6 linked regions of the Macaca mulatta genome follow. The protein of the gene in region 1 interacts with the protein of each later gene in a pairwise test. Links are inferred from orthologs where the notes say so. Each region holds a gene or a part of one and is shown in the gene's direction. Other genes may lie near its edges. The genes, in order: YWHAZ, CDC5L, UBE3A, ITPRID2, YAP1 and TNFAIP3.

The links.
Region 2: the proteins of YWHAZ (region 1) and CDC5L interact in a two-hybrid assay, tested with the Homo sapiens proteins (2 studies listed by BioGRID and IntAct). The link is inferred for Macaca mulatta from reciprocal best matches to the Homo sapiens genes YWHAZ and CDC5L.
Region 3: the proteins of YWHAZ (region 1) and UBE3A interact in a two-hybrid assay, tested with the Homo sapiens proteins (2 studies listed by BioGRID and IntAct, with this or other methods). The link is inferred for Macaca mulatta from reciprocal best matches to the Homo sapiens genes YWHAZ and UBE3A.
Region 4: the proteins of YWHAZ (region 1) and ITPRID2 interact in a two-hybrid assay, tested with the Homo sapiens proteins (2 studies listed by BioGRID and IntAct). The link is inferred for Macaca mulatta from reciprocal best matches to the Homo sapiens genes YWHAZ and ITPRID2.
Region 5: the proteins of YWHAZ (region 1) and YAP1 interact in binary tests that used the Homo sapiens proteins (3 or more experiments, as listed by UniProt). The link is inferred for Macaca mulatta from reciprocal best matches to the Homo sapiens genes YWHAZ and YAP1.
Region 6: the proteins of YWHAZ (region 1) and TNFAIP3 interact in a two-hybrid assay, tested with the Homo sapiens proteins (4 studies listed by BioGRID and IntAct). The link is inferred for Macaca mulatta from reciprocal best matches to the Homo sapiens genes YWHAZ and TNFAIP3.

Annotation. Positions count from the first base shown.
Region 1 is NC_133413.1:111,302,909-111,308,188, reverse strand, and holds part of YWHAZ (14-3-3 protein zeta/delta), read left to right. Parts: intron 1-762; 5' UTR 763-773; coding exon 774-1,067; intron 1,068-5,280.
Region 2 is NC_133409.1:137,663,967-137,668,976, reverse strand, and holds the end of CDC5L (cell division cycle 5-like protein), read left to right. Parts: intron 1-2,389; coding exon 2,390-2,602; intron 2,603-3,340; coding exon 3,341-3,445; 3' UTR 3,446-3,738; downstream 3,739-5,010.
Region 3 is NC_133412.1:4,573,816-4,579,095, forward strand, and holds part of UBE3A (ubiquitin-protein ligase E3A), read left to right. Parts: intron 1-165; coding exon 166-464; intron 465-4,119; coding exon 4,120-5,280. UniProt on the Homo sapiens protein: E3 ubiquitin-protein ligase which accepts ubiquitin from an E2 ubiquitin-conjugating enzyme in the form of a thioester and transfers it to its substrates.
Region 4 is NC_133417.1:86,843,792-86,849,071, forward strand, and holds part of ITPRID2 (protein ITPRID2), read left to right. Parts: coding exon 1-1,058; intron 1,059-3,592; coding exon 3,593-3,670; intron 3,671-3,749; coding exon 3,750-3,877; intron 3,878-4,291; coding exon 4,292-4,442; intron 4,443-5,280.
Region 5 is NC_133419.1:103,096,096-103,101,375, forward strand, and holds part of YAP1 (transcriptional coactivator YAP1), read left to right. Parts: intron 1-2,087; coding exon 2,088-2,200; intron 2,201-4,306; coding exon 4,307-4,545; 3' UTR 4,546-5,280. UniProt on the Homo sapiens protein: Transcriptional regulator with dual roles as a coactivator and corepressor. Critical downstream regulatory target in the Hippo signaling pathway, crucial for organ size control and tumor suppression by restricting proliferation and promoting apoptosis.
Region 6 is NC_133409.1:42,970,748-42,975,654, forward strand, and holds part of TNFAIP3 (tumor necrosis factor alpha-induced protein 3), read left to right. Parts: intron 1-31; coding exon 32-212; intron 213-1,407; coding exon 1,408-2,327; intron 2,328-3,046; coding exon 3,047-3,228; intron 3,229-4,008; coding exon 4,009-4,293; 3' UTR 4,294-4,907. UniProt on the Homo sapiens protein: Ubiquitin-editing enzyme that contains both ubiquitin ligase and deubiquitinase activities.

The DNA of each region.
Region 1 (5,280 bases):
TGATATATTCTAGTACTCACAGTAAGAGTTGAAGTGCCATGACTTGTGGATATTTTTAAAGCATGTGGACATATAACAAGATAAGGAGTTGAGGCATTAGGGTCAGATATTGATCCTTTGTGGTGGATTTATACTCAAAATATCTGAAAACAAACAGTTTGGTCATTCCTCCCCCCAAATTGTTATGCTATTATTGGCTGGCAAATGTTGCAGAGATCTAGTAGGTTTGGGGTGGGGGTAACACTAAAACTAAAATTTAATCACTCCTGACGAAAGTATTATGAAAGTAAAAAGACATGAGTTAAACTGACAAGAATTATGATTCTGGAAATATGATAGAAATCCAGATGTTCTCTGTAAACAATGCTTTTACTATGGAAGAAAAGCTGCTTAATTTCAGATCACTTAGTGGTATTGGAAATGAGTTGAGATTTTGGTCAAGTAAGATTAGGGGTAAGTTTTTGAGGCAGCTTTTGAAAGTAATTTTGACCTTATGTGAAATCTGTATCTTCTGAACAAATTTTAGTTTTGCTACACTGATGTGTTAATGGCTGAAAGTTTACCTCTGATGCTGAGTATGCTGAATTTTTTTTCCTTTTCTGACTATCCTTTTGTGAAGCTGCATTTTAATTCTTCATGTGAACAGTCTTCCACAGGCAGTTAGATTTCAGGTTTAAAAAACTCATTTACCACAGGTATAATTTTGAGTCTGTTTATTTTGATGGGAAAAATTTTAAATACTCCTTTTTTTCCCCCCTGCAGAACATCCAGTCATGGATAAAAATGAGCTGGTTCAGAAGGCCAAACTGGCCGAGCAGGCTGAGCGATATGATGACATGGCAGCCTGCATGAAGTCTGTAACTGAGCAAGGAGCTGAATTATCCAATGAGGAGAGGAATCTTCTCTCAGTTGCTTATAAAAATGTTGTAGGAGCCCGTAGGTCATCTTGGAGGGTCGTCTCAAGTATTGAACAAAAGACGGAAGGTGCTGAGAAAAAACAGCAGATGGCTCGAGAATACAGAGAGAAAATTGAGACGGAGCTAAGAGATATCTGCAATGATGTACTGGTGAGAATCAATTGAATCTGGCTTCATTATACTGTAAGGTTCCTATGAGTATCAGTTACATTACTCTCAACGTTTTCTTCGGTTTATCTTTTCCTTCTAAACATTGTGTGTTCAGATTTAAAAGTCTTCATGGTGTCATAACTAAAAAGATGTTAAGACAATTATAGATATGTGTATGTAAAGTAATTGTAATAATGATGATGAAACAGTTCAGTTTTAAAAATAACAGACTTTAGTATTATTGAAAAGATAAACTAATAGTATTACTGCTTTACTTATGGTTAGAACATTTGTGGTAGCTCTATAGCTGGTTATCTTAAATGTACATCTATGGATAAAGGAATTTTACATATTTTATGTAAGAGAGATGTAATAGGATACTGATTGTAGAAATAGTACTCTTCTCAGGATTAGCCGCTATAATGTTAATGTAATGAGTCAGCCATGCAGAAAACTCTGGCGTCACGACTATGAAACCTCTTTCCTGCATTGAATTCTTGAAAATAAATTTTGAACACTCGCAACCATGATGAAAGGTTATGAATAACTCAAGCTTGATTTTTCCAGTTTGAATCGAGTATTTTAAGTATTCAGTACCTACTGTGTTGAAGCACTACGCTTAAAATGATTAAACTACATTTTGGTTAATTTTAATCTGTCATACAAAGTAGGGCTTTTTGATCAAGAATAGTTTAAATTTGAGGATAAACTAGTAGAAAATCCAAGCTGGCAGTTTTTGGAATAATATTTAAAGTGATTTTGCTAAATGGTTACACTTAACCAGTATGGCAGGACTCTGATATACAAAGAGGGGCAGCAGCATCGCGATTTTTCTGGACAGGTTACTGAATGTGGGACTCAGTATGGAAATCCAGGTGTGTTACTTACTATATGAACCTTATTTATATGGAAGAAGTACTGTAATGAGCAATAGGATAATGTCTGATGTGGTTGTGGGTTTGGGGTTTTTGTTACAGTTGTGATGATGCTATCATTTCTTTACACTTGTATTTACTAATGGAATAGCATCAATTCCTAAACTGTATTTTTCTCAAATGATACTTGACACTGTCTTTTAAAATAATAGTGATTTTTTAAAACATGCTTATTTGGGTTCACAATCACAAACTCAATGAGACATCTGTCTTGGGGCTTTTTTTTTGTTGTTCTTATTGAAACCTTTACAATGATAGCTGTTATTTGTATCTAAGTTGAAAAAAGGAATATCTTGCTTTTATTGAGGCCAAGTGACAAATACCTATCTTGTGATTTTGCTAAGGTAGTAAGAATATTTAAATTTTGAAAATGTGATTTTTTTTCTATAATAAAAAATGTATTGGGTTTTTTTTTTTTTTTTTCCTTGCTCTCCTTACTAATATCTGTGTAAGTGTAACTCAGTTTTGTTCAGTCTGGTGTTACACTTGATCAAAAAGTTTTTATTTGGGCTTCAAAGGATATGTTACAAGTTAACATTTCCCTTAAGACAAAAGTCAATTTTAGGAATAAAAAGGAATGTGACATTTACCTTTTAATAACACGCTTATTTGCAATACCAGGTAGGTATGTGCATGTTTTCCATATACAAAGTATAAAAGTTCCTGTCATTGTGAGTCTTCTCCTGGGAAAAGACTTGTAGCAGGTTTGTTTTTTTGTGTTTCTTTTGAGACTGAGTTTTGCTCTTGTTGCCCAGGCTTGAGTGCAATGGCATGATCTTAGCTCACTGCAACCTCAGCCTCCCGTGTTCAAGCAATTCTTCTGCCTTGACCTCCCTAGTAGTTGGAATTACAGGGCGTGCGCCACCACGCCCAGCTAATTTTTGTATTTTTAGTAGAGATAGGGTTTCACCTTGTCGGCCAGGCTGGTAACCAGGTCAGGTCTAACTCCCAACCTCAGGTGATCCACTCACCTCAGCCTCCCAAAGTGCTGGGATTACAGGGGTGAGCCACCATGTCTGGCCCAACTTGTAGCAGTTTTGACTATGCTTCCCTTTGGTTTCCTTATCAAGAAAAATTTTTTGCATAGAACCAGTAGATGAGGATGACAAGATAATCTCTTAATAGCTTCTTGTTGTTATGATTATTAAGGAGTTTGATTCTGGTCCCTACTCACATCGTTACCCTCTAGAATAGCACTGGCTTCTTAAAAAGTCTAAATGGTATTTATACTTTGAAAGTTTGGATGAATGAGAGTTTTCTTTACTATACAAGTGGGTTCGAAGAGAATTCTAAACAAGCTTTGGCTTCCAGCCTTAGTCTTTTTAAGAGTAAGACTTAGTGATCTTTGCATACTCAGAACGTGTAGTAGATGCTCAAATATTTGTTAAACAAGCAGAAAGGCTTTTTTTGAGAAAGGATAGAATTAGGTCAGCAGCACTGCAAAATTTCCCTGGCTTTTTCTTTTTCTGCTTGGGAAAATTTGATATTTACAGATAATAGGCTTCTTTTTCCTACCATCTATTTCAAATAGGTCACATCGACTCTGGAAACATTGCATAAAATTCCTTTTCCCCTTTTTAGTGAAATGGAAGAATAAAGTGTAGCAGAACTGGTATTTCTACTAGAGAAAGTTTTTGAATCATTGTTACTTAATGATTATTAAAAATATTTTAAATTATATATTTGAGATCTTACATGGTAAAAAAATCAATTATAATTTTTTATTACTCCAGCCTTTTCTGGGCTTTGAGAGATATATATGTATATACACATATACATATATATATATATACACACACACACTTTAATTTGAGAAAAATAAGCAGGTAATCCCTTTGCAGAATTAATGGTATTGGCTGGTGGCATTAGTGATAACCAGATTTTTTATATTGAGCACCTATTTTATAATAGCTATGAAAATATACTCTTCCTACAAAAAGCAGCTAATCTCCAACGTTCTGAGTTTTTCTGAAGAACTTTTTAGTAACCCATTTTGGTTACATGTATTTATCAATTGTTTAACCATTTAATAAGCAAAGAGCTTGGACCATGTTGCTTATTACAAGAGTTAATAGAGCATTACCGTGGAAAGTGGTCACTGGCATGTTCTTCACAAGGTGGACTTTTCATTATGTAAAAGAACTTCGAGTTCTTCTCTTCCATGTGTTAATTTGAAACTGCAATATGTGAACTAATGCAATCTGCCTTTCCTGCCAGATGCTTAGACAGAAACTCTCTTGGTAGTTGGGGAGGGACTCAACACTAGCACCTCTTTAAACCTGAAAGATGGCAGCCAAAAATTGGGTAGTTTTTATCTTGCACTTGATGAAATGAATACCAAGGAAACACAGTCTAGGAAGACTATTTCAAACTCAAAGAAGTATGTCGAGGTGAATAATGGAGCTCAAGATACTGAATCAAACTAGTTTTACCATTTAATAGATGCATGGCCTGAGGAAATCACTCAGTCCCTCTGAGAAAACTAAGCTCAATTAAATAGGAATAATTCTCATCCCCCAGGGTTGTGGGGAATGAGAGGTAAAGCACCTTGACTACCTTTTGTGTCCTGTTTATCTTAGCTTTTCAGTTCTATTTAAAAGTGTGAGCCTGCCTGTAATAGTGCAGGGGTCTCTTAACTTATAGTCCATGAATGGAATTTAGAAGATGGACGAAGCCTTTAAGATTGTGCATTTTTCTGGGGCAGAAGGTCCATGCCAACCATCAGATTTTCAAAGATTTCATTTTAAAATTTAAAATCCACTGCTATAGGCAAAGAATGACTTTATAGGAAGTCTACGACAGGAAGCAGTATAAAATTGTGTGTCTAACATTCATAACAGTTGGCAACTGCAGTTCAGTAATCTTAATAGTGATTCAGTTAATTCGACTGAGTTCTATTTTATTGCTGCTCTACATTTTTATTTGCTCAGAGCAATTTTAAGTTGTGGTTATGGGGCACCGATTTTTATCTCCAGCCCACAGAACTACCATTAAACAAATAAGATAAGAAAGCAAGTAGTTTTTGAGTCCCTTGTAGTCTGAATATATTATTACATGCCTTGGGCTTTAAAAACTGCTATGTAGTTTTTAAGATGCAAATCACTAGGCAGCTCATTGGAAAATAAGGCCTTCTCCAAAGAACTCTGTAGTGTTATATCTATTGTTACTATTTTATTTTATTAAGATATACTGTATATTTACATGTCTTCGTGGTTTTGGTATGTTTGGAAGTATAAAGAATTCAAGTTCTGGTCCCAGGAAGGAAGAAATAGGACGGT
Region 2 (5,010 bases), on another chromosome or scaffold:
CCATTAGTTTTTGACATTTTAATTGTGATGTGTCTTGGTGGGTCTCTTTGAATTTATCTTATTTGGTGTCTTTTGGGCTTCCTGGATCTGGCTTTCCATTTCCTTCCCCAGGCTTGGGAAGTTTTCTGCCATTATTTCTTTGAATATGTTACTTGTTCTTTTCTCCTTCTGGCACCTGATAATGCATAAGTTGTTCTCCATGATGGTGTCCCATAAGTCTCTTAGGTCATTCTTTTTCATTATTTTTTCTTTTTGCTCCTGAGGTTAGATGATTTCCAGTGACCGGTCTTCTAGTTTACTGATCCTTTCGTCTGCTTAAACTAGTCTGCTGTCGAACCCCCATATTGAATTTTTCAGTTCAGTTTTAGTAGTTTTCAGATCTATGTTTTCTCATTGGTACTTTTTAATACTTTCTGTCTCTTTGTGGAAGTTCTCAGTTTGTTCTTGCATTGCTCACTTGACCTCGGTGAGCATCTTTGTGACCATTATTTGGAATTTCCTGTTGGGTAAATCATATATCTCCAGTTCACTTGGGTTGGTTTTTATTGCTTTATTTTGTTTCTTTTTTTTTTTTTTTGGGGAATATATTTTCCTATTTCTTAATTGTTCTTGGCTGTCTCTATGTTGGTTTCTGTGCGTTACATGAGACAACTGCCTCTCTCAGACTTCTTAGACTGGCCTTGTGTAGCAGAAGGATCTTGCCAATCCATCCAGCTAGATATTTTAAGATACCCTTTAAATCTTTGTATTTGTTCAGACTGCTGTCTCTATTCTTGGTACTATATTCCATCAATACCCTGTAATCAGTCAGGTAGAAGCCAGATGCTTCGATGTAGCTGGGAAGGTTGAGGTGTTGGGTATGTGTCCTAGTTCCTTCTGTCATCATGTTGAAGATAAGTGCTTGATTCTTCCACTCTCTCTACACTAAGCCGTCTCTGTGGCAAATGCCTATACTTGTGTTGTGGCTGCACTCTGTGATCCTGGTGAGATAATCTGCTGGAAGTGGGCTCGTAGTATGTCCACCTCTGTTTTCTGTGGTTTAGGGAGATTCAGGAATGCAAAGCCCTGTCACTTTCCAGAGCTTAGGTTGTGAAGGGTACAGTCCCTTGTCTGTGTGGAGCTGTAAAAGTGTGGCACGCAGTCTGTAGACAAACTCCTTTTAGGAAGAATGAGTAGGCCTGGAATTATCAGTGGGATGTGCTGGGGGAAAGGCTCAGGATATGCCAAGTTCCTGCTCAGGCTGCCTGAGGGGTACTGTTTATCTCCCGCATTAGCTCTCTGATGCAAGTTAGAGGCCAGGCTGTCAAGTAGCCACTGGAAGAGTATGTGGTTATAAACCCTTTCTGGAGAGAAAATGAGAGCTGCATGTTCCAGACTCTTTTCTTCACTGCTCCCAGAGAGTGTAGCCCTAGAAAGTATTTGCACACCTGTTTAAAACCACCTCCTTGTTTTCTGATCTAGAGAGACATGCATATGCTTAGTCTCTTCCATTACCAGATCTAGGAGATTTAGGATATAGTCCTTTGGGTAGATGCTGTGCAAATTGAGGCATTTGATGTGTGGATAAACTCCTAGGAGGAATTGGTAGGCCTAGAGTTACTGCTGGGGCAGACTAGGGGGAAAGGCTTGGAAAGTGTCCAGCTGCTGCTTAGGCTGCCAGAAGGCTACTTTTGCAAAAACTCCACTGTCCCATTAACTCCCCATGCACGTTAAAAGCCAGGCTGTCAAGTAGCCACTGGAAGACTGTGCCATGAGCCCCTTCCAGGGAGAAATGTGGAGCTTCATGTTTTTGGCTCCTTCTCTGCACTGCCCCCAACGGGTGCAGTCTGTGAAAGTACTTGCATGCTTGATTAAAAGTATCTCTTTGTTCTAGGGATGTAGTGATCTAGGAAGACTTGCACTAGATCCCTCAGCTCCCAGAGCCAGGAGATTTAGGATGCAGGCCCTGGGATGGAAACTGTAAAAGTTGGGGTCTTGATGTGTGAACAGACTCCCAGAAGTACATTTTTGGGATATAGATGATGAAGATAGCTTGTAGCTAGTCCCAAAATAAATACGTTGAATGATAGCAGAAGTCATTTTCAGAAAGTAGGCATTAGTTTTTCCCCTACTGTGACATTCAAGCCCGCTTTGAGGTTCAGTCATGGGTCAAATTATTATAAATAGATTATAGATTATTTGGTACTCACCTATAAAACCCTTTAGGTGCAAGATAAATCCTTCTTAAGCTTGATTTTTTTTTTTTTTTTTTTACAGTAGTTGAGCTATAAGGAGTTCTAGTGTATTTTTGCTTTGAGGCACATGCATGAACGAATGGTACCTTTTTAGCCCTTTATTTAATAGCCTACTTTTCTCATGTATGCTGATGTGATCTTCCCCTGCTCTCCAGATAAACAGGGGTCACATGACGACAGAAGCCAAGAGAGCTGCAAAGATGGAAAAGAAGATGAAAATTTTGCTTGGGGGTTACCAGTCTCGTGCTATGGGGCTCATGAAACAGTTGAATGACTTATGGGACCAAATTGAACAGGCTCACTTGGAGTTACGCACTTTTGAAGAACTCAAGAAACATGAAGATTCTGCTATTCCCCGGAGGCTAGAGGTAACGTTATATATTGAAGCGTTGCTTTAAAAGAGTGCTGCAAAGAATTATCAGGGCTGTCCTCTTTTACTTCTCCTATGTAGGCTGTCTCTGAAGTTGGTAGTGTCAGGCTTTTAAAAATGAGAGCCTAAAGTGTTTGACTTTAATCTAGAATTGCCTCTGTGTAGATGGATAGACTAGGCAAGTTGTAGATACAAAGGCCTTCCTTTACTCATGTTCTGTTTCATACGTAGATACACTGTGAAATGGAATACTTAGCCCTTGTAATTTGTCCCCTTGAAACTTGATCACATCCCATTCGTGTAGCTCTGTGAGGGGAAACTAAACCAATATCTTTCTGTTTTATAACTTAGGTGGCTGGGAACATAGCTAGTCCTTCCAAACCATCAAATTCCTTTGACCGGATTTGGATTCAATTTATCTCCCAAATGTGCATAATAGCTCCTGTCCAGCTAAAGGGCAGCCAGGGCTTCTTGAAGTGCATTTGTGGGTACTGATAAGACAGTAGTGGTTTGTTTATTTGAAGTAGCAGCAGGATTTCATATGACCAAATCAAAGAATGGCTGTGATACTGGTTTTATAGCAAAAGTATTTGATACGTTTGTTTCTCTTTGAGAAATTTTTACCTCTTAAGAATCATGATTTAACTCAGCTGGTTTTTAAGATAGTAAAGTACTGTAGATTTTTTTCAATATAGTTACATCTAAAAGAATTACTTAATATTTTTGTTTCTTTAAGTGTCTAAAAGAAGATGTTCAGCGACAACAAGAAAGAGAAAAGGAACTTCAACATAGATACGCTGATTTGCTGCTGGAGAAAGAGACTTTAAAGTCAAAGTTCTGAAGTACAGTTTATATTCTGTCACAGGATTAATTGCCGGTTTTCATACTCTAGAAGGCTGAAACTGATGCTTATCTTCATTGACAAATTTACCCACCATCTGTGGTTTTTTGGTTGTTTATTTTAAATGATATCGATCTTACACATTCTGTGTATAAAGACCTTAACTCCACAGGACGGACATTTTAGAGTTTAAATTATTAAGGCTGTCATTCTTTTAGCAATGTCATATTTGCAAACTTTTTTAGTTTTGGCCTTTAATTTAAAAAGCCTAATTTTAAAGTGCTGCCTGTGAGTAACTCTTAAATAAAAACAAAATATAAAAAATTGAGAATGTAGCCTTTTGTTTTAAGTAATTAGATACTTAAGAGTGCCCGCAAACCAGCAGCTATGTACTCTGTGTCATATTTAATGAGTAACTCTTGGGTAATCAAAATGGTGATGCAGTATCTTAAACACTTAAGAGGCAGTTCTTTGTGGCTTTGTTAGTTTCAGCAAAGAATGGTCATTTCTGTGTACACTGACGAGTTAGATTAACTTTTTAGTACCTCAAATTTTTTTTAAATATCACTTTAAAGAAGGTTTCTTCTCCTCCAGCTACTTAAATAATTTATGGGTCAGGGCTTAAAATATTTAATTTTCCTTGACCTATTATTTTCTTGTAAGTATTTTTTGACAAAGGCATTTTAAAAGTTAATTTCAAGAAGGCCATCAAACTTAAAGCTCTATGTTTAGCGTAAGAAGTCAGTTACATCAGTGTAGAATTTGGGGAATGGATAGAGGTGGAGAGATTTAATTTTATAATAATTCATATAAATTAATTTAGTGTACAGTATCAGTTGGCTATGAGCTCATTATAGGCCAGCAATGTTTTGAGATGACCAAAAACATTTGCCCAGTCTTAGAATACTAGGAACTATAGGAAGGGAAGGGATTCATTCATTCATTCATTCATCAGATATTGAATGTATACCCTGTGCCAGAGTTTTAGAGAGAGAACAACGAACAAAATAGGCCTAGTTCTTGTTTAGTAGAGCTTATAGTCTTTTGAGAATAACAGACAATTAAAATCCAAATGTTTATTTGGTGATTCTTATGTGTCAGACACTTACTTAAGTGTTGGAGATAAGCAGTTATTAAGACAGAGTTCTTGCTGTCACGGAGGTGACATTAGTGGGGAGGAGATACTAAATATGTACAGGGAAAGTATCAGACCATGAGTTTCAGATTCTGTGGAGGAAATTAAAGTAGGGTGATTATGAGATAGTGAATGACTGGCTATTTTAGACTGGACGATCAAAGAGACCTCTTGGAAGGCAGCTGTGCTCACCACTATACCACTGCACTGTACCACACCATACCACTATAAGCTGCATGGCCAAGGAGACCTCTTAAAGAAGTAACATTTAAGATAACATGTGATTGACATTTTAGAATGGGCCATCTTTGTGAGATTCAAGGAAAGAGCATCCCAGGTGGAGTGAATAGCAAACAAAGCCTCTTTTGTATGTTTGAGGAACAAAAAGGACTATGTGGCTGGAGTGTCAAGAATGGCATTTCTGTATGTA
Region 3 (5,280 bases), on another chromosome or scaffold:
GTCAGGGGTTGTTGGTAAATAGTGCATCTCCATTTTCTACTTCTCATCTTCGCACACAGGTTAATCACTTCAGTGCTTGACTAACTTTTGCCTTGATGATCTGTTGGGCTTTGTACATGACAGCTATACTAATCACTGTGCTTATTGTTTGACTGTTTGGTACAGGAAGCGAGCAGCTGCAAAGCATCTAATAGAACGCTACTACCACCAGTTAACTGAGGGCTGTGGAAATGAAGCCTGCACGAATGAGTTTTGTGCTTCCTGTCCAACTTTTCTTCGTATGGATAATAATGCAGCAGCTATTAAAGCCCTCGAGCTTTATAAGATTAATGCAAAACTCTGTGATCCTCATCCCTCCAAGAAAGGAGCAAGCTCAGCTTACCTTGAGAACTCGAAAGGTGCCCCCAACAACTCCTGCTCTGAGATAAAAATGAACAAGAAAGGCACTAGAATTGATTTTAAAGGTAAGATGTTTTATTTTTAATTGAGAATTGTTGGCTGAAAACCATGTGGGAGATTTAAATGTATGAGTTTTTATTTGTTTTTTCTTATGTGACATTAAGACATTTTGATACTGTAGAACCAATTTTTTGTTTTGGTAAAGGACAGGAATAATAACTACATTTTACAGGTTTAATCGTTGCTAATTAGAAGCAGATCATATGCCAAAAGTTCATTTGTTAATAGATGGATTTGAACTTTTTAAAATTCTTAGGAAAAAAAGTATTAATTGATAGTTAATCTCCAAAACTAGGCCACAACATCTATTTAAGTTATAGAATAACTGGACTCAGTATCTGGCATGAGTTCTGGAACCTCAGGATGATGTGATGAAAGAAGTAGGAAGAGGAAGCAGTGGGTTTTTTTCCATTTTAGAAGGCAAGACAAAATTTTGTGATAGTTATGTGAGAATTCTACATTTCCTTCAAATATATGCTTCTCACTCTCCTCACAAACATTTGGTACAGTCATGCTGCCAAGGGTGGTGACCTACCAATGACAATCTTCACTCAGGTCTTTTGTTTTTTAAATGGTCCTGTGTCCAAAATTCAGGATTCGATTACCTTGTCGCTAATACTAAAACTCCAAGTTATTTTCCTCAGTGAATGTAATTAGTAACACGGTAATCAAATTTTTGAATGACTGCCAGGGCTTAGCGCCCCTGCACCCCCACCCCCATACACACGCAGAGGCAATTGTATTTTAAGAGAGAAAGCTTTTTGTTTATGACGTGTAAGTGACAGAATTTTAGAGGCATTTGCCTCTAAAACTTTCAGTAACATCATCTGAATCAAGTTTGAAAGAATTAATGAAGTGGCATTGTGTTATAACCTCTACTGTTTCCACAATAGAATTATTTTCGTCACTTTACACAACTTTGTTGCTTCAGAGTGTATAGTTCTGTTTCATGAATTAGCTCACACACTGTGGAAAAATAGGTAAATGTCTATATATATAGTGTGTCAGTATAATGTGGAAGCTGCATTGACTCTATTGTACACAGTTCTCCAGTAAGTGTGCACCACAGAGTACCAGTAACTGAACGCAGAGTGCTGGCACAGTGGAATGCAGCCAGCTGGGGGGGGTGTGATACATGAGGAATGTACTCATCTGCTCTTTTGGCCACATGCTCCATCTTAGAGATGCTTATTGTGTGGCTTTATCCGGTCTTTATGCCCCCACCTCTTTTTGCTGAAGTCTGCATTAGTTAGCAGTTTTGACCTTTCCTTTTTCCTACTTTCTAATCTGCTACTGGTACTATTCCCTGTTCTTTACTGTTTTGTTTTTGTTTTTGTTTTTGCAGTGTTTTACAGTTACTATCATATATTAGAAATTAGAAATGCTGTCTCTGCACTAGTACTCTTATTTTGATTATTAATTATGTTTATTAACACTAATCACAAAGTTGCGTAACTATTAAGTAGTCTGCACCAAACTCTTGTTGTGTAAAAGGTTTTTAAGTGCAGAATTTAAAAGATTGAGTATTTTCAGGGACACATTTATCACAAGAAATCTTACAAAAAATGTCTTATTTAATATATTCTCAGTAGAACACCTCTATCAGTAAACCAAACTTTATGAATGTTCATATCTAATTACAGTGTTTTTTGACTAATTTTTATCTATATATCTGAAAAATTCAGTTTAACATATTAAACACTACAGGCCAGGCATGGTGGCTCATGCCTGTAATCCCAGCACTTTGGGAGGCCAAGGCGGGCGAATCACGAGGTCAAGAGATCGAGACCAGCCCAGTCAACATGGTGAAACCCCATGTCTACTAAAAATACAAAAAAATTAGCCGGCTGTGGTGGTGTGCACCTGTAGTCCTAGCTTCTCGGGAGGCTGAGGTAGGAGAATCGCTTGAATCCAGGAGGCAGAGGTTGCAGTGAGCCGAGATCGTGCCACTCCAGTCTAGCCTGGCGACAGAGCGAGACTCCATCTCAAACAACAACAGCAACCACAACAAAAAACACTACATGGAAAAAGTATAGGTACATTCTATATAGGATTAGTAGACTGTCAGAATCACTTGAAGATGTTCCGAAAGCATGACATATCAACAAAGGACATGTGAGTCTAGAATCGTGATCCCTAGGACAGGCCATATTACTGCATGCAAAGCAAGTCTTTGTTAAGCTTATGACTTGCTCAGGAAGCAAAGTGTTTTATGTCTTAATTTTCTGTTACATTTTGGGAAATTAGATAGGGGTTTTGCATTGTCTTGGAAGAAGGTATTATAAAAATTTTCAATGAAAATAATGAGAAATAGACTTCCAGTGGTTTTACGCTTTTGGGGAAAAGGTTACTGATGTTTAGCAAAAGATGCTTATATATTCTTAATAGAACAAACCTGAGAATTAGTTCTTAAAGAGTTAAGGCCCATAAAAGAAACTGCAAGTGTTGACACTCTTGTAGCTTGGCCACAGATCAGATCCTTAGTATGATAAAATTTGGTATTTTTGTGGTTCAATTTTTGGAGACCATTCAGTGATCACTTACATTTTATATTGTCTTTCATTGTGAAACAGATATATTATAGCAGAGGTGGGAGTCATTAAAAATTCTACATGTTGTATAGTACATGTATAAAGGTATGTTTGGCACAATGGAGGTAGGATTGTGTGCCTCTAAAATTAACCCCTTAAGTAGTTAATCTGATGATGATAAGTATGTCACTTTATTGATGAAAGGGAGAATTAAGACTATTCTCAGTATTATGTTGGTCAGTACACAAAATATATCATTTGTTTTTACCTGTAAAATAAAATATCTTTCATCCTGTTAGCCAGAAGGGGGAAAGCATTGGCCTGAAAATAACACTTATCTCAAAAAGTTGGGAAATGTGGTCCAACTCTGTGCCCAGGAAAAGAGGAAACAGATTTTGATGACTACATAGTCTCTGCACTGCTTGCCAGCTCATAAGTTGCCTTCTTCGCACTGTTTTCATTGCTCAAAAATTATTTTCTGTCACTCTATGAGACTTAGTCTAACCTGATTGCTGGCTGCAGAAAGCAGTTTCTGCTCAAGAGCTGATGAGAAATGGTATATTCTTCTCAATCACTCACAGAATGACTACCCTGGAACAAACTAGGAAGACCCAAAATGAACCAGTTTTCTTTTAATACATACATAGATGCTGAAGGAACCTTTCTTTTAAGACTTTGCCTTCTCAGTCTTTTGAGAACGGAGTACTGAAACAAGAAAACTCTCAGAAGATTAGTAGTATTTCTGTTCTACAGTGAGGTTTTAAGAGCTGTATTATGATTAATCAGTATATGACATATTGGTTCATATTTATAAATAAAGCTATACATTAATAGATATCTTGATTATAAAGAAAGTTTAAACTCTCCTGATCTCATTAAGAGTTATGCATTGTTGAAAGAATGTAAAAGCATGGGTGAGGTCATTGGTGTAGGTAGTTCATTGAAAAAAATAGGTAAGCATTGAATTTTGTTTGCTGAATCTAAGTATTAGATACTTTTAGAGTTGTATATCATAAATGATGTTGAGACTACAATGTTTGGCTGTTTTACTTTTATTAGAACTTTTTGCAACAGGGTAAACATGCATATTATGAAAATAAATGTTCTCTTTTTTCCTCTGATTTTCTAGATGTGACTTACTTAACAGAAGAGAAGGTATATGAAATTCTTGAATTATGTAGAGAAAGAGAGGATTATTCCCCTTTAATTCGTGTTATTGGAAGAGTTTTTTCTAGTGCTGAGGCATTGGTACAGAGCTTCCGGAAAGTTAAACAACATACCAAGGAAGAACTGAAATCTCTTCAAGCAAAAGATGAAGACAAGGATGAAGATGAAAAGGAAAAAGCTGCATGTTCTGCTGCTGCTATGGAAGAAGACTCAGAAGCATCTTCCTCAAGGATAGGTGATAGCTCACAGGGAGACAACAATTTGCAAAAAGTAGGCCCTGATGATGTGTCTGTGGATATTGATGCCATTAGAAGGGTCTACACCAGATTGCTGTCTAATGAAAAAATTGAAACTGCCTTTCTCAATGCACTTGTATATTTGTCACCTAACGTGGAATGTGACTTGACGTATCACAATGTATACTCTCGAGATCCTAATTATCTGAATTTGTTCATTATCGTAATGGAGAATAGAAATCTCCACAGTCCTGAATATCTGGAAATGGCTTTGCCATTATTTTGCAAAGCAATGAGCAAGCTACCCCTTGCAGCCCAAGGAAAACTGATCAGACTGTGGTCTAAATACAATGCAGACCAGATTCGGAGAATGATGGAGACATTTCAGCAACTTATTACTTACAAAGTCATAAGCAATGAATTTAACAGTCGAAATCTAGTGAACGATGATGATGCCATTGTTGCTGCTTCGAAGTGCTTGAAAATGGTTTACTATGCAAATGTAGTGGGAGGGGAAGTGGACACAAATCACAATGAAGAAGATGATGAAGAGCCCATCCCTGAATCCAGTGAGCTGACACTTCAGGAGCTTTTGGGAGAAGAAAGAAGAAACAAGAAAGGTCCTCGAGTGGACCCCCTGGAAACTGAACTTGGTGTTAAAACCCTGGATTGTCGAAAACCACTTATCCCTTTTGAAGAGTTTATTAATGAACCACTGAATGAGGTTCTAGAAATGGATAAAGATTATACTTTTTTCAAAGTAGAAACAGAGAACAAATTCTCTTTTATGACATGTCCCTTTATATTAAATGCTGTCACAAAGAATTTGGGATTATATTATGACAATAGAATTCGCATGTACAGTGAACGAAGAATCACTGTTCTCT
Region 4 (5,280 bases), on another chromosome or scaffold:
AGGGACTAGAGAAAGCAGCAGCAGTTGCAGACAAAAGAAAATCAGGTAGCCAGGATTTCCCTCAGTGCAAGACCATTGAGAATCCAGGAACTAAACAGTCCACCTGTAGTTCAGGGGATCATGTTACTGAAGTTACTGAAGTGGAAGAGGATTTGTTTCCAGCAGAGACGGTAGAGCTACTGAGGGAAGCAAGTGCTGATAGTGATGTGGATAAAAGCAGTGAATGTGAATTTACTCAGTATACCACACACCATATTCTGAAATCATTGGCTTCTATTGAAGCTAAATGCAGTGATACGAGCTCTGAAAATACAGCTGGGCCTCCCTCTTCCGTGGACAGAGTTAATACAGCTTTACAAAGAGCTCAAATGAAGGTTTGCACTCTGTCTAATCAAAGGATAGGGCGTAGCCTGCTAAAATCAAAAGATTTGTTAAAACAAAGGTACTTATTTGCAAAAGCTGGCTATCCTCTAAGAAGGTCTCAGTCTTTACCAACCACCTTACTGAGCCCAGTAAGGGTTGTGTCCTCTGTCAATGTTCGACTATCTCCAGGAAAAGAGACCAGATGCAGCCCACCTTCCTTCACCTATAAGTACACACCCGAAGAGGAGCAGGAATTGGAAAAGGGGGTGATGGAACATGATGGTCAGTCTTTAGTGAAATCGACCATTTTCATTTCTCCATCATCTGTGAAGAAAGAAGAAGCCCCCCCGAGTGAGGCGCCGCGGGTGGAGGAGTGCCACCATGGAAGGACTCCTACCTGTTCCCGGCTTGCTCCACCACCAATGTCTCAGTCTACCTGCTCCCTTCACTCCGTCCACTCTGAGTGGCAAGAAAGGCCCCTGTGTGAGCACACAAGAACTCTGAGCACTCACAGTGTTCCCAACATATCAGGGGCTACCTGTAGCGCTTTTGCTTCCCCTTTCGGGTGTCCTTACTCACATAGACATGCCACCTACCCTTACCGAGCGTGCTCTGTGAATCCTCCTTCAGCCATAGAAATGCAGTTGCGAAGAGTATTACACGATATTAGAAACTCACTGCAGAATCTTTCACAGGTATGAGAAAAAGTTATCTTTATTAGCTTTTTTCTTTTACTGCTCTGAGCACTTTTTAATTCACAGAGAAGCTAAGACACATCAAATATGAACTACCTCTGCTTTATTTTCTGACATGTCTAAACTTATCTGCATCTGCCTTCCTTTTCTATCTTCCCTCCTGTTTCAAGGGAGAAGCTGTAACTAATCCTGATCAAAGTCGATTTCTCTGCTCATAATTCTGTCTCCTTTCTGAGAGGAGAGATTTTGCTCATGAAGTATCCTCCCATTTTTAGTCTACCATCCATTGTCTTTGTTTTAGGCTAGAATCTTTGTCAAGCCATTTCTATTATTAAAAAATCTTCCCTCTCAAAGTTCTTTCTCTCCTTTTCTCTGCCATTTGAACATGTTGACTACCTTTTCCTTTTCCAAGTTTTCTCCCTGTTGGCTTCTGTGGCACCACGTTCTCCTGGTTCTGCTCGTAGCTCTCTGACTAAGCTTTCCCCTTCACCTCCTGACCCTCGATGCTGTGCACAGAGTTAGTCTACTTCCACTGGACTCAGAGACTGGAACTACTCCAGACCAGAAAATAACAAATCAGGTAAAGTGTGAATTTGATTTAAAATGCTCTGTATGTCTTGTCACTTTTTTTTTTTTTTTTTGGAGCTGGAGTCTCGCTTTGTTGCCCAGGCTGGAGTGCAGTGGTGTGATCTCCACTCACTGCAAGCTCCGCCTCCCGGGTTTACGCCATTCTCCTGCCTCAGCCTCCCATGTAGCTGGGACTACAGGTGCCCACCACCACGCCCGGCTAATTTTTGTATTTTCAGTAGAGACAGGGTTTCACTGTGTTAGCCAGGGTGGTCTCGATCTCCTGACCTCGTGATCCACCCATCTCAGCCTCCCAAAGTGCTGGGATTACAGGTGTGAGCCACTGCGCCCAGCCGTCTTGTTACTTTTAAAGTCATTCTCAGATTTGTTAGTGGACTGGAAATAATTTTCCCAAAAAAGCTTTGAAAATAAGTAAGTTGTCTTCAGTTTTGCCTTTTACGTTTTCGTGAACGTTCTGAACAAATCATGTTTAGACAATTGAAGAATTGAAGAAAATGACAATGTAATATAGTCATGAGAGCATTCAACAAGGAGTCAGGAGGCCTACAATGAATCTAATAAATCTCTTATCGTGACATAATAGACAGGGAGCCACTTGGAAAGTAAAAATCAAAAGTGTAACTTCTCAAGTTATAATAAGATATACCTTCTCCTAACTAAGTTTTATCCTCATGACAGTTGTCCCCTGTTTTCTGAATGGGGACAGTTTCAGAATGTGGGTGTTTCTTGTTCTTCCTTACAAAATATAGTTCTGTCTGTGACGGAGATGTTTAACTTTGCAGCTGTAATTATGTCAAGCTGGGGATTTCCAGGGGCCTGTCCACCAGTACCGTGGTGCATCTTTCTTTCTAGGCCACCTTGTTCTTCTGCTCCAGCTGTGGTCTCTCTCTCCTGGATGTCCCAGCAATAACTCAGCTAATAAATCTCCCCATGCCAACCCCACCCCAACTAGTGGACAGATGCTTTCTATGATGTGGTCTCTGACTGTCTCTCCAGCCTCATTCCTTAGCTGTGTGTTTCAGCCATCCTGGAGGACTATGCACAGGGCTCTAAACAGTTGTGTGTTCTTACATATCTGCACATGCTGTTTTTTTTGTTTTTTTTTTTTTGTTTTGTTTTTTAATAAAAAGATGAAGTTTCTGTTTGTCGCCCACATGGAGTTCTGGAGACAGTGGTGTGATCACGGCTCCCTGCAGCCTTGAACTCCTGGGCTTAAGTAATCTTCCTGCTGTGGCCTCCCAAAGTGCTGGGACTGCAAGCCACTTTTTTTTTAACCTAGATCACCCAGCCTTTGCCTTTCTTTGCATAATCAAGCCCTACTTACTGTTAAGGCTCAGTTCAAGTAGTGTCACCACTTTTGGGAAAGTTCATGTAATATGAATTTTTGTGTGTCCATCATAGCACTGCTTCCACAGTATTATAATTTTTACAACATTTTGTTTATTTTTCCTTACACTGTGAGGACACCTGAAGGCTGGGAATACCTTTTATGTTATCTCACTGCCTAAAATAGTGGCATATGGGAAATGCTCTCTAAGAAAGACGACGACGATTGCTTGCTACTCTCTCCAGAGAGTGTAATAATCGCTATACTCTCATGATGATATTTGCAATGACTTCTACATTTTTGCATTTTGATTTTGTTTTTGTTTTTTTTTTTCACTTTTGCAAGGCCAGAGGAAAGTCCTGAAAGAAATAGATGTGAACTATGTATGTTCCTTCGCCTTCTCCTCCTTCATAGATTGACTTATACCCGGAACAGCTAGCAGTAATAGATGTCATTGGGAACTGATTTCTTTTTTCCTGCTTACAATATGAAGGTTTTTTAGATCCTTTTGTCTTAACGAGAAAAATATGTAGGCCTCACATTCTGCCTTTTAACCCTTTAAGTGATTTGGAAGTATTCACTTTAACATTGATTTTAATCCTACTTTTACTTTTTGAAGTACCCTATGATGAGAGGACCTGATCTTGCTGCTGCTCCATATAGTACTCAGAAATCATCTGTTCTACCTCTTTATGAAGTAAGTTCTTACTTACATCTTTGTGTTTCAAAATAATTTGTAGAATTTAGAAGTGTAATTTTGTTTTATTGCATTCTAGAATACTTTTCAGGAGCTCCAGGTAATGAGGCGGAGCCTGAATTTGTTTAGAACACAAATGATGGATTTAGAATTGGCAATGCTGCGTCAGCAAACCATGGTTTATCATCATATGACTGAGGAGGAAAGGTAAAAGTTCATTTTGTCTTAGCACTCCTGAAAAAGCTTTTCATTCAAAGTCTTTTCAACTTATATTTTTAAAAATTAGGTTTTGATTTTACTGCTATGTACCTTATATCCGTTTTGTGAACCAGTGTAGATAAAATAGTCATAGATAGTGTTTTACTAAGTAAACTTGTGTGCCTTCAGTATCCTAAGGGTGGTTGTAACCAGTTTTCCAGTGTTTGAGATATTTGTGAGAGGATGGGGGAAGAAAGACCAATATCCTTGTGGATATACCTATTGTAGTTGATATTGTACTAATTATTATAGAACCTGAGATTTCTGTACCTTCTGTTAGCATATAGTAGTTGTTGAAAGATTTGTGATTAGGAATCTCCAAACTGCATTTTTCAAACTTTGTGCCCTTCACCATACCAATAGGTTTGAAGTTGATCAGCTCCAGAGTTTGAGAAATTCAGTCCGAATGGAACTTCAGGACCTGGAACTGCAGCTAGAGGAGCGCCTCCTGGGCCTGGAGGAGCAGCTTCGTGCTGTGCGCATGCCTTCACCCTTCCGCTCTTCTGCACTCATGGTATGCTACCTGGAGGGTGGTTGGAGTTTTCACCAAAGATTTATTTATAATGTTCTAATAATTTAGGACTTGTGCCTTCATTTCAAGTTATTTATTTTAATGGTATTAAAAGCATGCATACTGTTTAAGGAGCTTTCCCACAAACCAGTTGAATGTACAGTTTGTAATAATTGTTATAAATAGCATATTTAGAAATATGTTGAAACATTTTAATGATAAATTTTAATAATAGGAAAGAATAAGGGAAAGTTGAGTGTTTTTAAAGGAAAAATGATAGTGAATTAACATATGACTAATGTAAATTTTAATTGTTGCATGTAACTGTGGAGAACACAGATATGTATTTTGCTCAGTTTTTTTTTCTCTCTTGCCTTTAAATAAAAAGCGTTCCCTTTAAACTTTTTCTTTATTTTGGATTCTTTTCCATTTGTTTTTAAAGGAATCAAATGGTACCTGTATATTTTATTTTATATATATATTTTTTTTCCTAAATATATAGATGTATATCCAAGAGAATAAAAAGAAGTATCTTTTTGTACCACTTTTCATACTTCTTATGTTTCTTTCCATGACATTTGAACTTCAACAGTTGTATTCTTATTTTTGCAAATATCTTTGAAGTTGTAGAATATGTTGCTTTGAAATGTTGAAGTAGTGAATTATTATTCTTTACCTTAACAATGTATTTGATTTTGTTAAAAAATGGCCTGAATATACACACATATACTTATGTGTGTATATACTACAAATGAAGTAGAATAAACATTTGTGTATAAGCTCACATATATGTATAGTATAGACTAAGAATGTTCTATATTGCTAATGAATGTACTTTTCA
Region 5 (5,280 bases), on another chromosome or scaffold:
AGGCGGAGGTTGCGGTGAGCCAAGATCATGCCATTGCACTCCAGCCTGGGCAACAAGAGTGAAACTTCGTCTCAAAAACAAAAAGACAAACAAAAAAAAAACCTCTTGATGGTTTTTCTCTTGTTTACTATTTGATTTATATATATTCCTTAAGCTCTAAATACTTTTTCCCCCAACTTGCCATGGCATTGACTCTTAGTAGTAACGCAAACTTCCCTTATCTCCCTTTTACTTTTGAGATCCCTCAAAGCTCACTCAGATGTCCCCCTCCATGAAACCTTTACCCTTTACTTTCAAGCTCCTTGTTTGTTGTGAAAGTACTGTGCCTACATAGTTCATATAGCCCCTGTATATGATTCAGTAGTATATTTGTTCATTTCCCTCCTTGAAGTTGTGAGTCTCTCACAAAACATTGTTTGTAGGTGGTGGTGGTGGTTAACCTCGTTATCCTCAAAGCCTAGTTTAATGCCTGTCATGTAGTAGCAGATGCTCAGTGAATGTTTATTGAATGAGTGGGGCCTGTAGGAGGTGAGGTTCTGCAGGGAGCAGTTCCTCGCCAGGAAAATGGCCCTGTAAACTCTGTTCTCAGGAATGCCCATGTGCTTCCCCTGTGGTTTGGAATGAACTCTGCACAACTCTGTAAGTTCAGCTATTCAGTAATAGACTAAAATGTCTGATGTGCGTCCCATGCTTAGCAGCCGAATAGAGTGATGACTAGGACCAGGCTCTTGTCCCAGATCAGGGCACGCAAAATACAAACAAGCCAAATACTGAGGCCTTCTCATCCATGGCTGCATTGTATATCAGTGGTCTCAGAGGCAAGTATGTGTTTTCTTGGATCTGTGTGAAGCTTTTGAGCATTGGCAAAATCTGGCAGAAGCATTAGAGTAAACCAGTGATTGCAGTATATAGAATGAGGGGAGAGAAAGAACAAGGCAAACGCATTGCATCATTTAGGGAAGGCAGTTGGGGTACTGACTGAGCTTGTAGCCTTGAGCAATTGTTAAACTTGTTTTTATTTTTTAACTTTTATGTAAGTTAAATAGCTGCTTTTAAATGTACAATCTATAGAGAAAGTTAAAGTTCACACATGTACACAGACCATTGAAGAATAACAGCTGCCTTGATTTTATGCTTTTCTCCAAGATTTTCTAGAGTTAGTAGAACTGAGAATTTTCTAGAGTTAGTAGACCTCAGTGAATGCCCGCTGATGTCTAGATGCTACCAGCTTAGGAGAGTGTTCTATTTATCAGAGTAATGGATATTTACCATACATGAATGTAAATCTGGGAAACCTTGCTTAGTCTAAAGTGAAAATCTGTGTCGGGTCATTTTATTTTCAAGGGATGTGCCTTGCAGTTTTTTGTCTTGCTCTTTCTTTAACTGGAGCTATATGATCTCCCGTTTCCTTTCGTACTAAAGTGTTTGAGGGTTTTTCCTCCCCCGCCCAAACACAGAAGCAAGGAGATCAAGCCATGAGTATTCTTATCTTATCAGCAGTGACTCATCTATTTTGGTTCAGTCCTAAAAGGAATTCTGGTGGTTTATTTGGGGTTGATTTTTCCTTGGCTTATGTTCTCTGCACAAGAGCTAGGAATTTAACTTGAATCTAGTGCAGACCTGTCTCCTCGCCCACCTGGAGTTTGTGTTTTGACCTCTCTGTCTGTGCCACCACCACCTGGAGAATTGAGACCTTGGGACAAGTAAGTTGTGTGGGTTCCTCCCCACCTCCAGATTCAAATAGTATTACAGAGAGGAGAATACTCATGCAGAGAATTGTCTGCCAGCCAGGAAAACTAACTGGGGGTACCTTTTTTTGTCCCTTATTGTCATCAAGCACAGAACCTTAGGAGAAATCTTGGCTCTTTAGGGCTGCTAGCTTCAATTAGGATTAACTTGTCTATTTCACTTCATAGCACAAGCCCTGTCTACGGCCCTGAGGGAGGGGCTTGTTTCAGACATTGCAGAGCAGGAATTTTCACTAACCCTCTTTGAGAATTATGTTGGTACTCAGCAGGTGTTTATTTTTACCTTGAATTGATTTTTAAAATTTTTTGTGTTGGTCTTTAACTGTCATGTTTTTGTAGTGGCACCTATCACTCTCGCGATGAGAGTACAGACAGTGGACTAAGCATGAGCAGCTACAGTGTCCCTCGCACCCCAGATGACTTCCTGAACAGCGTTGATGAGATGGATACAGGTTGGTATTCTTTATTCCTCTTAGTAGCCTGACTTACAGTCGGATATGTTATCACCAGGTCTAATAAGGTATTGTAAGCAAAGATTATTCAGAAGAAAACCAATTAAAATCCTGTAAATTCGAATTAAATTGAGCCTGCTTTGTCTCTATATGGTGATTTGTAACTGGTATTTTCCTAGTTTAAAAAAATATGTATCATGAATTGGCCGGGTGCGGTGACTCATGCCTGTAACCTCAGCATTTTGGGAGGCCAAAGTAGGCGTATTTCTTGAGCCCAGGAGTTCAAGACCAGTCTGGGCAACATGGTGAAACCCCATCTCTACAAAAAAATACAAAAATAAGCCAGGTGTTGTGGTACGTGCCTGTGGTCCCAGCTACTCAGGAGGCTGAGGTGGGAGGATGGATTGAGCCCTGGTGATCACACCACTACACTCCATCCAGTTTGGGTGACAGAATGAGACCCGTTCTCAAAAAAAAAAAAAAAAAAAATCATAAATTGGATATATTAGCTCTATTTGAATAAAACTCTGGCAGCATGACTTACATTAGCATGTTGATCTTAATTGGCAAGACAAACAAGTGCCCGTTAGAACATCTCTCTCCTTATTATGGATTTGTGTCCTTAATTTTGAGAAATGTCTACATGTTATTCAGTGTTTGTTTTCATCTTTTCTCTTAAGAGTTTTTGGTCCACCTTAGGTGTTACGGGGCTCAGGAAACCAGATGGGAAAGACTAGGAGGTGGGGCCCACTTACTTTATTAGAATAGTTGCAGAAGGCCAGGTGTGGTGGCTTACACCTGTAATCCCAGCACTTTGGGAGGCCGAGGTGGCCAGATCACCTGAGGTCAGGAGTTCAAGACCAGTCTGGCCAACATGGTGAAACCCTGTCTCTACTAAAAATACATAAATTAGCCATGTGTGGTGGTGTGCGCCTGTAATCCCAGCTACTCAGGAGACTGAGGAAGGAGAATCATTTGAACCCAGGAGGCGGAGGTTGCAGTGAGCCGAGATCACACCACTGCACTCCAGCCTGGGTGACGGAGCAAGACTCTGTCTCAAAAAAAAAAAAAGGAATAGTTACAGGGGTCTTGCAGGAGCTAAGAAATACCTGCCTCACAGGGATAATTAAGGAAGCATTTCTCCTGTGGCTTACCTGGCAACCATTGCCTTAAACTTGACAACTGCCAGACTGCATGAATTGGCAGGGAAATGAAGCTGTTCTTTAGCTACCAGCTCTTTCGCTAACTGCTTCTCTTCTGAAAGTGTTTAGCAAGGCTTTTGTGCCTGTACTCATCCAGCTCCTGGCTTTGATGCTTTCTAGAATCCACACTACCCCCTCCTCTCTGCTTACCTAGATTTTAAATCATCCTTAGGAGCCACTTCAAACCCATTTCACACACACTTTTACTTCTCTAATCTGTATTTCTCTCTTCTCTAGATCCCTATAGCACTTAATGATTTATATTAGTTTTTCTGAAAGTATGTTCTATTGAAGCTCTGAGGAATGTTAATGTTGTCATATGCAAAAAAGGCTCTGTGGCGGAGTAAGTTTGGGAAACCTAGAAGCAAGGCTAAGAAGATGTATTTCTTCAAAGCCCTCTGGGAAGCTTGTTTTGCTGTTATGAAGGTGCATAAGGGTGGAATAAAGTATTCATGCAGTCCTTTTATTTTAATGTTTCCCAAAGTGTTTTTAAGACCAAGGAAGTTCTATACCACTCGTTTTTATGTTTAGTCTTATTATGGTGGTGCTTATCTGGAAGACAGGGTAGTGATGCTGTTGTGTTGTGTTCTTGTTCTTTCTCCCCCTGCTGCATATAATTTTTCAAGGACTTTTTTATTTTTTTAATGACTCCCTTTAGTGCTCAGCACATAATAGCAATCGAGCTGTTATTGGATATCTGAACAAATGTTGAAGCAAAAGTAAACTCGGCATTGTTATCTTGTTACCTGTGAGTTGTTTGACCTGATATAAATTCTAGGTATCAGTTTAGGTCAGTCAGGAGCGCTTTTCTTTCCCTGTGCATTTCTGTATGCTCATATGATACAGCCCTGATGTTAGCTTTTCAAAAAGGACTTTGTTATCTCTCTGTGTGTGTTTCCACTAGGTGATACTATCAACCAAAGCACCCTGCCCTCACAGCAGAACCGTTTCCCAGACTACCTTGAAGCCATTCCTGGGACAAATGTGGACCTTGGAACACTGGAAGGAGATGGAATGAACATAGAAGGAGAGGAGTTGATGCCAAGTCTGCAGGAAGCTTTGAGTTCTGACATCCTTAATGACATGGAGTCTGTTTTGGCTGCCACCAAGCTAGATAAAGAAAGCTTTCTTACATGGTTATAGAGCCCTCAGGCAGACTGAATTCTAAATCTGTGAAGGATCTAAGGAGACATACGCACCTGAAATTTCCATAAGCCAGTTGCAATTTTCTGGCTAATACAGAAAAAGATGAACAAACGTCCAGCAAGATACTTTAATCCTCTATTTTGCTCTTCCTTGTCCATTGCTGCTGTTAATATATTGCTGACCTCTTTCACAGTTGGCTCTAAAGAATCAAAAAAAAGAAAAAAACTTTTTGTTTCTTTTGCTATTATAACTACTGTTCATTTTGGGGGCTGGGGGAAGTGAGCCTGTTTGGATGATGGATGCCATTCCTTTTGCCCAGTTAAATGTTCACCAGTCATTTTAACTAAATACTCAGACTTAGAAGTCAGATGCTTTATGTCACAGCATTTAGTTTGCTCACCAGTTGTTTCTTCAGCTGCCTTTGGCCAGTGGAAAAACATGATTTACTGGTCTGACAAGCCAAAAATGTTCTATCTGATATTAAATACTTAATGCTGATTTGAAGAGATAGCTGAAACCAAGGCTGAAGCCTGTTTTACTTTCAGTATTTTCCTTTCCTCCTAGTGCTATCATTAGTCACATAGTGACCTTGATTTTATTTTAGGAGCTTATAAGGCATGAGACAATTTCCATAGAAATATATTAATTATTGCCACATACTCTAGTATAGATTTTGGTGGATAATTTTGTGGGTGTGCATTTTGTTTTGTTGGGGTTTTTTTTGGTGGGGCG
Region 6 (4,907 bases), on another chromosome or scaffold:
TTTTACTTATGTGTTATTTTTTTTCCCTCAGAAATCCGAGCTGTTCCACTTGTTAACAGAGACCGAGGAAGATTTGAAGACTTGAAAGTTCACTTTTTGACAGATCCTGAAAATGAGATGAAGGAGAAGCTCTTAAAAGAGTACTTAATGGTGATAGAAATCCCTGTCCAAGGCTGGGACCATGGCACAACTCATCTCATCAATGCCGCAAAGTAAGCAGTTTATGTTCAGCTCTCTCCTGTGTCATCTGTAACTGTCTTTAACCTCAGCCACCTGAGTTGCTGCCACCCTGAAGCTCAACAGTAGAGTGATTTGTGGCCAGTTTCTGCCAGTGGGAAACAAATTCAGAGCCTTGTGCATGGTTAGAGAGGATTCTGTAAGGCCGTACTAACTTGGGTTTCAAATCGAAATAAGTCATTTATCCATATTGAGTTTCCTAGATATCTGGATCCCAAAAGCCAGAATTGCAGAATTATGGGTTTTCAAAGTGCATTTACATCAAGGATAGTTGTTGTTTTTTGTTTTTGTATTTTAATTACTCTGGTACGTATTAAAAAGACTAGCAAGTGAAAACACTTGGAAACAAAAAGCTTTCTCTCTTGGCTTCTTGGTAAGAACAGGCACATCAGACATAGCTGGGGCTGTAGAATTGTTCCTGTTGCAGCTCATGATTCTGCCACATGGAATGGGAGGAAAGCCCCAGAATGCCCATTGTGCAGGTATCTGGTCTTTAAACGTTGGCTTTATGTTAAAGAGATGCCTGTTTCTGAGCACTTGAGATGCACAAGAGATGACAAGGAGGCCGTAAGAGAATCTGTCTCTCAACGTGGAGATTAGCAAATTACAGAGTCAACAGTAAATAGGCAAGTGCCTTTGAGTGTGTCTGCATCTTAGTTACTCATGGCTGCTAATGCTGGTGGAGACCAGACACAAGTTTAAAGTTAGTAATAGCAAAATACCCAACCTGAGGTTCCAAAGTAGTTTGTGCTATAAAGTAGACTAGTCCCAAACGAATGGCCTGAGTGATGTTTTACTCAAAACTTGATCTCTGAGAAATTAAAGAGTCAGCTGATTTTTTTTTTTTTTTTTTTTTTTAGCCCTTGTTTTAAAACTATCTATAATTTTTGGATGGACCAAGATTGATTAAATGAAACTGTGATTTTAAAAATAAGGAAGTCTTAGCAAACTAACTGACATCATTCTTGACTCTAGAACGTGTTGGGAAATGTGTCAGATCATGTTACGTGAAAAGTGTGAGCTCTTCATCACAGGCCTGCGTTTCAGTTAATGGTTCTGCAATTCTTGCCATAATCCATATTCTAAAACTTTGTTCTGTAGGCTAATGATGTAAAATCTTGTGTGTGATTTTGTGTAGTCTCATACATATTTTTTCTTTTTGGTCTTCAGGTTGGATGAAGCTAACTTACCAAAAGAAATCAATCTGGTAGATGATTACTTTGAGCTTGTTCAGCATGAATACAAGAAATGGCAGGAAAACAGCGAGCAGGGGAGGAGCGAGATGCATGCCCAGAATCCCATGGAATCTTCCCTGCCCCAGCTTTCTCTCATGGATGTAAAATGTGAAACGCCCAACTGCCCCTTCTTCATGTCTGTGAACACCCAGCCTTTATGCCATGAGTGCTCAGAGAGGCGGCAAAAGAATCAAAACAAACTCCCAAAGCTGAACTCCAAGCCGGGCCCCGAGGGGCTCCCTGGCATGGCGCTCGGGGCCTCTCGGGGAGAAGCCTATGAGCCCTTGGCGTGGAACCCCGAGGAGCCCACTGGGGGGCCTCATTCTGCTCCACCGACAGCACCCAGCCCTTTTCTGTTCAGTGAGACCACTGCCATGAAGTGCAGGAGCCCCGGCTGCCCCTTCACACTGAATGTGCAGCACAACGGATTTTGTGAACGTTGCCACAACGCCCGGCAACTTCACGCCAGCCACGCCGCAGACCACACAAGGCACTTGGATCCCGGGAAGTGCCAAGCCTGCCTCCAGGATGTCACCAGGACATTTAATGGGATCTGCAGTACTTGCTTCAAAAGGACTACAGCAGAGGCCTCCTCCAGCCTCAGCACCAGCCTCCCTCCCTCCTGTCACCAGCGTTCCAAGTCAGATCCCTCACAGCTCGTCCGGAGCCCCTCCCCGCATTCTTGCCACAGAGCTGGAAATGACGCCCCCGCTGGCTGCCTGTCTCAAGCTGCACGGACTCCGGGGGACAGGACGGGGACCAGCAAGTGCAGAAAAGCTGGCTGCATGTATTTTGGGACTCCAGAAAACAAGGGCTTTTGCACACTGTGTTTCATCGAGTACAGAGAAAACAAACGTGAGTGAAATGGTTGACTTCCTAACATAGCAGCTACTGTCCAGAAGAGGTTTTGTTCCTGACCTTTAAGGAAAAAATCCCGTGTGGGCAGTCAGGCAGAGTGGTCAGGACCTACCGTGCTTTTCTACTGGCTTGTGCATGGGACAGCCACGGTGGCCCTGCCAGCTGCCCATGGAGGCAAAAGGCACTGCGTGGTTATAGCAGCTCCTAATATCACATTCCAAAAACCAGAGTGCCCTGTAGACAGAGCTCATGGGATTTGCTTTTACTAGACCGTTCAGGTCTGGCGTATCTAAGACAGTCTTAAACTAGACTTCTTTTGCAACTTAGATATAATAGAACAATCTTAAAATCTGAAGAGTAGTAACTGGAGAGAAGGAAGTCTCTCTTGACACTGTAAGGAAACAGATGTGGTTTTGGAAATCTCTCGTTTGAAAGAAGGGTGACCAGGTAATGCCTGCTCTTTGCCCTGTTCCTGTGACCAATCAGTGCTTCAAGTTCAAAATGAGAGATCGGTAAAGCCAAAGATGTTTCCATAATAGTGTTGTTATTATTTCTTTTGCTGAATTTATATACTTAAATATGTACATATATATATTTCTATATATTTAAGGCTGGCCTAATCTGTATTTGGAACCCATTTATTTCTCTAATGTCAGCATCTCTGTATCTGTGGGGTGACCCCTATGTGGTACTAACTAGCATCCACTCTCGTGTAGATTTGGTCGCTGCCTCAGGGAAAGCCAGTCCCACAGCCTCCAGGTTCCAGAACACCATTCCGTGCCTGGGGAGGGAGTGCGGCACCCTTGGAAGCACCATGTTTGAAGGATACTGCCAGAAGTGTTTCATTGAAGCTCAGAATCAGAGATTTCATGAGGCCAAAAGGACAGAAGAGCAACTGGTGAGACATTTTGAGGAGTTTTCCCTCCCTCCCGTGTGTCCGGTGCTTTTTACTGGAGCGTTGGCTTCCAACAGTGACAAGCAGGCTTTCGTCTCTGCCAGGTTCTGTCCCCTCATGATAAAGGATTAGTTCAGAACCTGAAGGGGAATGTCCATGTCACTGTGGCTCCCCAGGTCCGAAATGCTGCCACCGATTTTCATGCTCCAAGAATACTTTTGAATTCATTTTAAAAACAAAGAAACACAGCCATTGCATAAAACTTCTTCCAGCCCCCAGAAAGCCAGACCGTGATCAGAGGCTTCTTTGATTTGTAAGAGAAGCACAGACATCTAAAAAGCAGCCCTTCTTAAATAATCGTTTATCACAAGGAGCGAACAGACAGAGCTTGCCGGGGGCCTGCGCTTAATGGTACATCAGAAAAGCCAGCTTTGACAGATACAGGTGTGTCGCCTGTTGTTCACATAATGGTAGAGAAGCTATCTAAGAACAGTGGTTATTGGTCCCAACAGAAGAGAGCCAGGGAAAGTTTGCAGGCCAACTTAGGCTTGACGGTTTTCCTCAGCCTCCCTGGGGGCCAAGTCAGCTTTCCTTGAGATTGGAAGGAAACATCCTTCAAGAGCTCTGGCTCATAGACTGCGGTGCTCTCCTGTTCCCTTGCTCAGGCAGGTAAAGCTCTTTGTAGACTCCACACTATCCAATGAGATTTCACTGTGCTGTCCCTAAGAAATGTGAGCAATAGTTTCCTGACTTTTTAATGATCCGTCTGTTCTTTCCACTCAGAGATCGAGCCAGCGCAGAGATGTGCCTCGAACCACACAGAGCACCTCAAGGCCCAAGTGCGCCCGGGCCTCCTGCAAGAACATCCTGGCCTGCCGCAGCGAGGAGCTCTGCATGGAGTGCCAGCATCCCAACCCGAGGATGGGCCCCGGGGCCCACCGGGGTGAGCCTGCCCCCGAAGATCCCCCCAAGCAGCGCTGCCGGGCCCCCGCCTGTGATCACTTTGGCAATGCCAAGTGCAACGGCTACTGCAACGAGTGCTTTCAGTTCAAGCAGATGTATGGCTAACCGGAAACAGGCGGGTCACCTCCTGCAAGAAGTGGGGCCTCGAGCTGTCAGTCATCATGGTGCTATCCTCTGAACCCTCAGCTGCCACTGCAACAGCGGGCTCAAGGGTGTCTGAGCAGGAGAGGAAAGATAAGCTCTTTGTGGTGCCCACGATGCTCAGGTTTGGTAACCAGGGAGTGTTCCCAGGTGGCCTTAGAAAGCAAAGCTTGTAACTGGCAAGGGATGATCTCAGATTCAGCCCAAGGTTCCTCCTCTCCTACCAAGCAAGAGGCCAGGAACTTCTTTGGACCTGGAAGGTGTGCGGGGACTGGCCGAGGCGCCTGCACCCTGCCCGTCAGGACTGCTTCATCATCTTGGCTGAGAAGGGAAAAGACACGCAGTTGGGTGGGTTGGAGAAGCCAGAGCCAGTCTACCTCCCCTCCCCTAGCATCTCTCAGAGATGTGAAGCCAGATCCTCATGGCAGCGAGGCCCTCTGCAAGAAGCTCAAGGAAGCTCAGGGAAAATGGACGTATTCAGAGATTGTTTGTAGTTCATGGTTTTTTCCCTACCTGCCCGGGTGCTTTCCTGAGGACCCGGCAGAAATGCAGAACCATCCATGGACTGTGATTCTGAG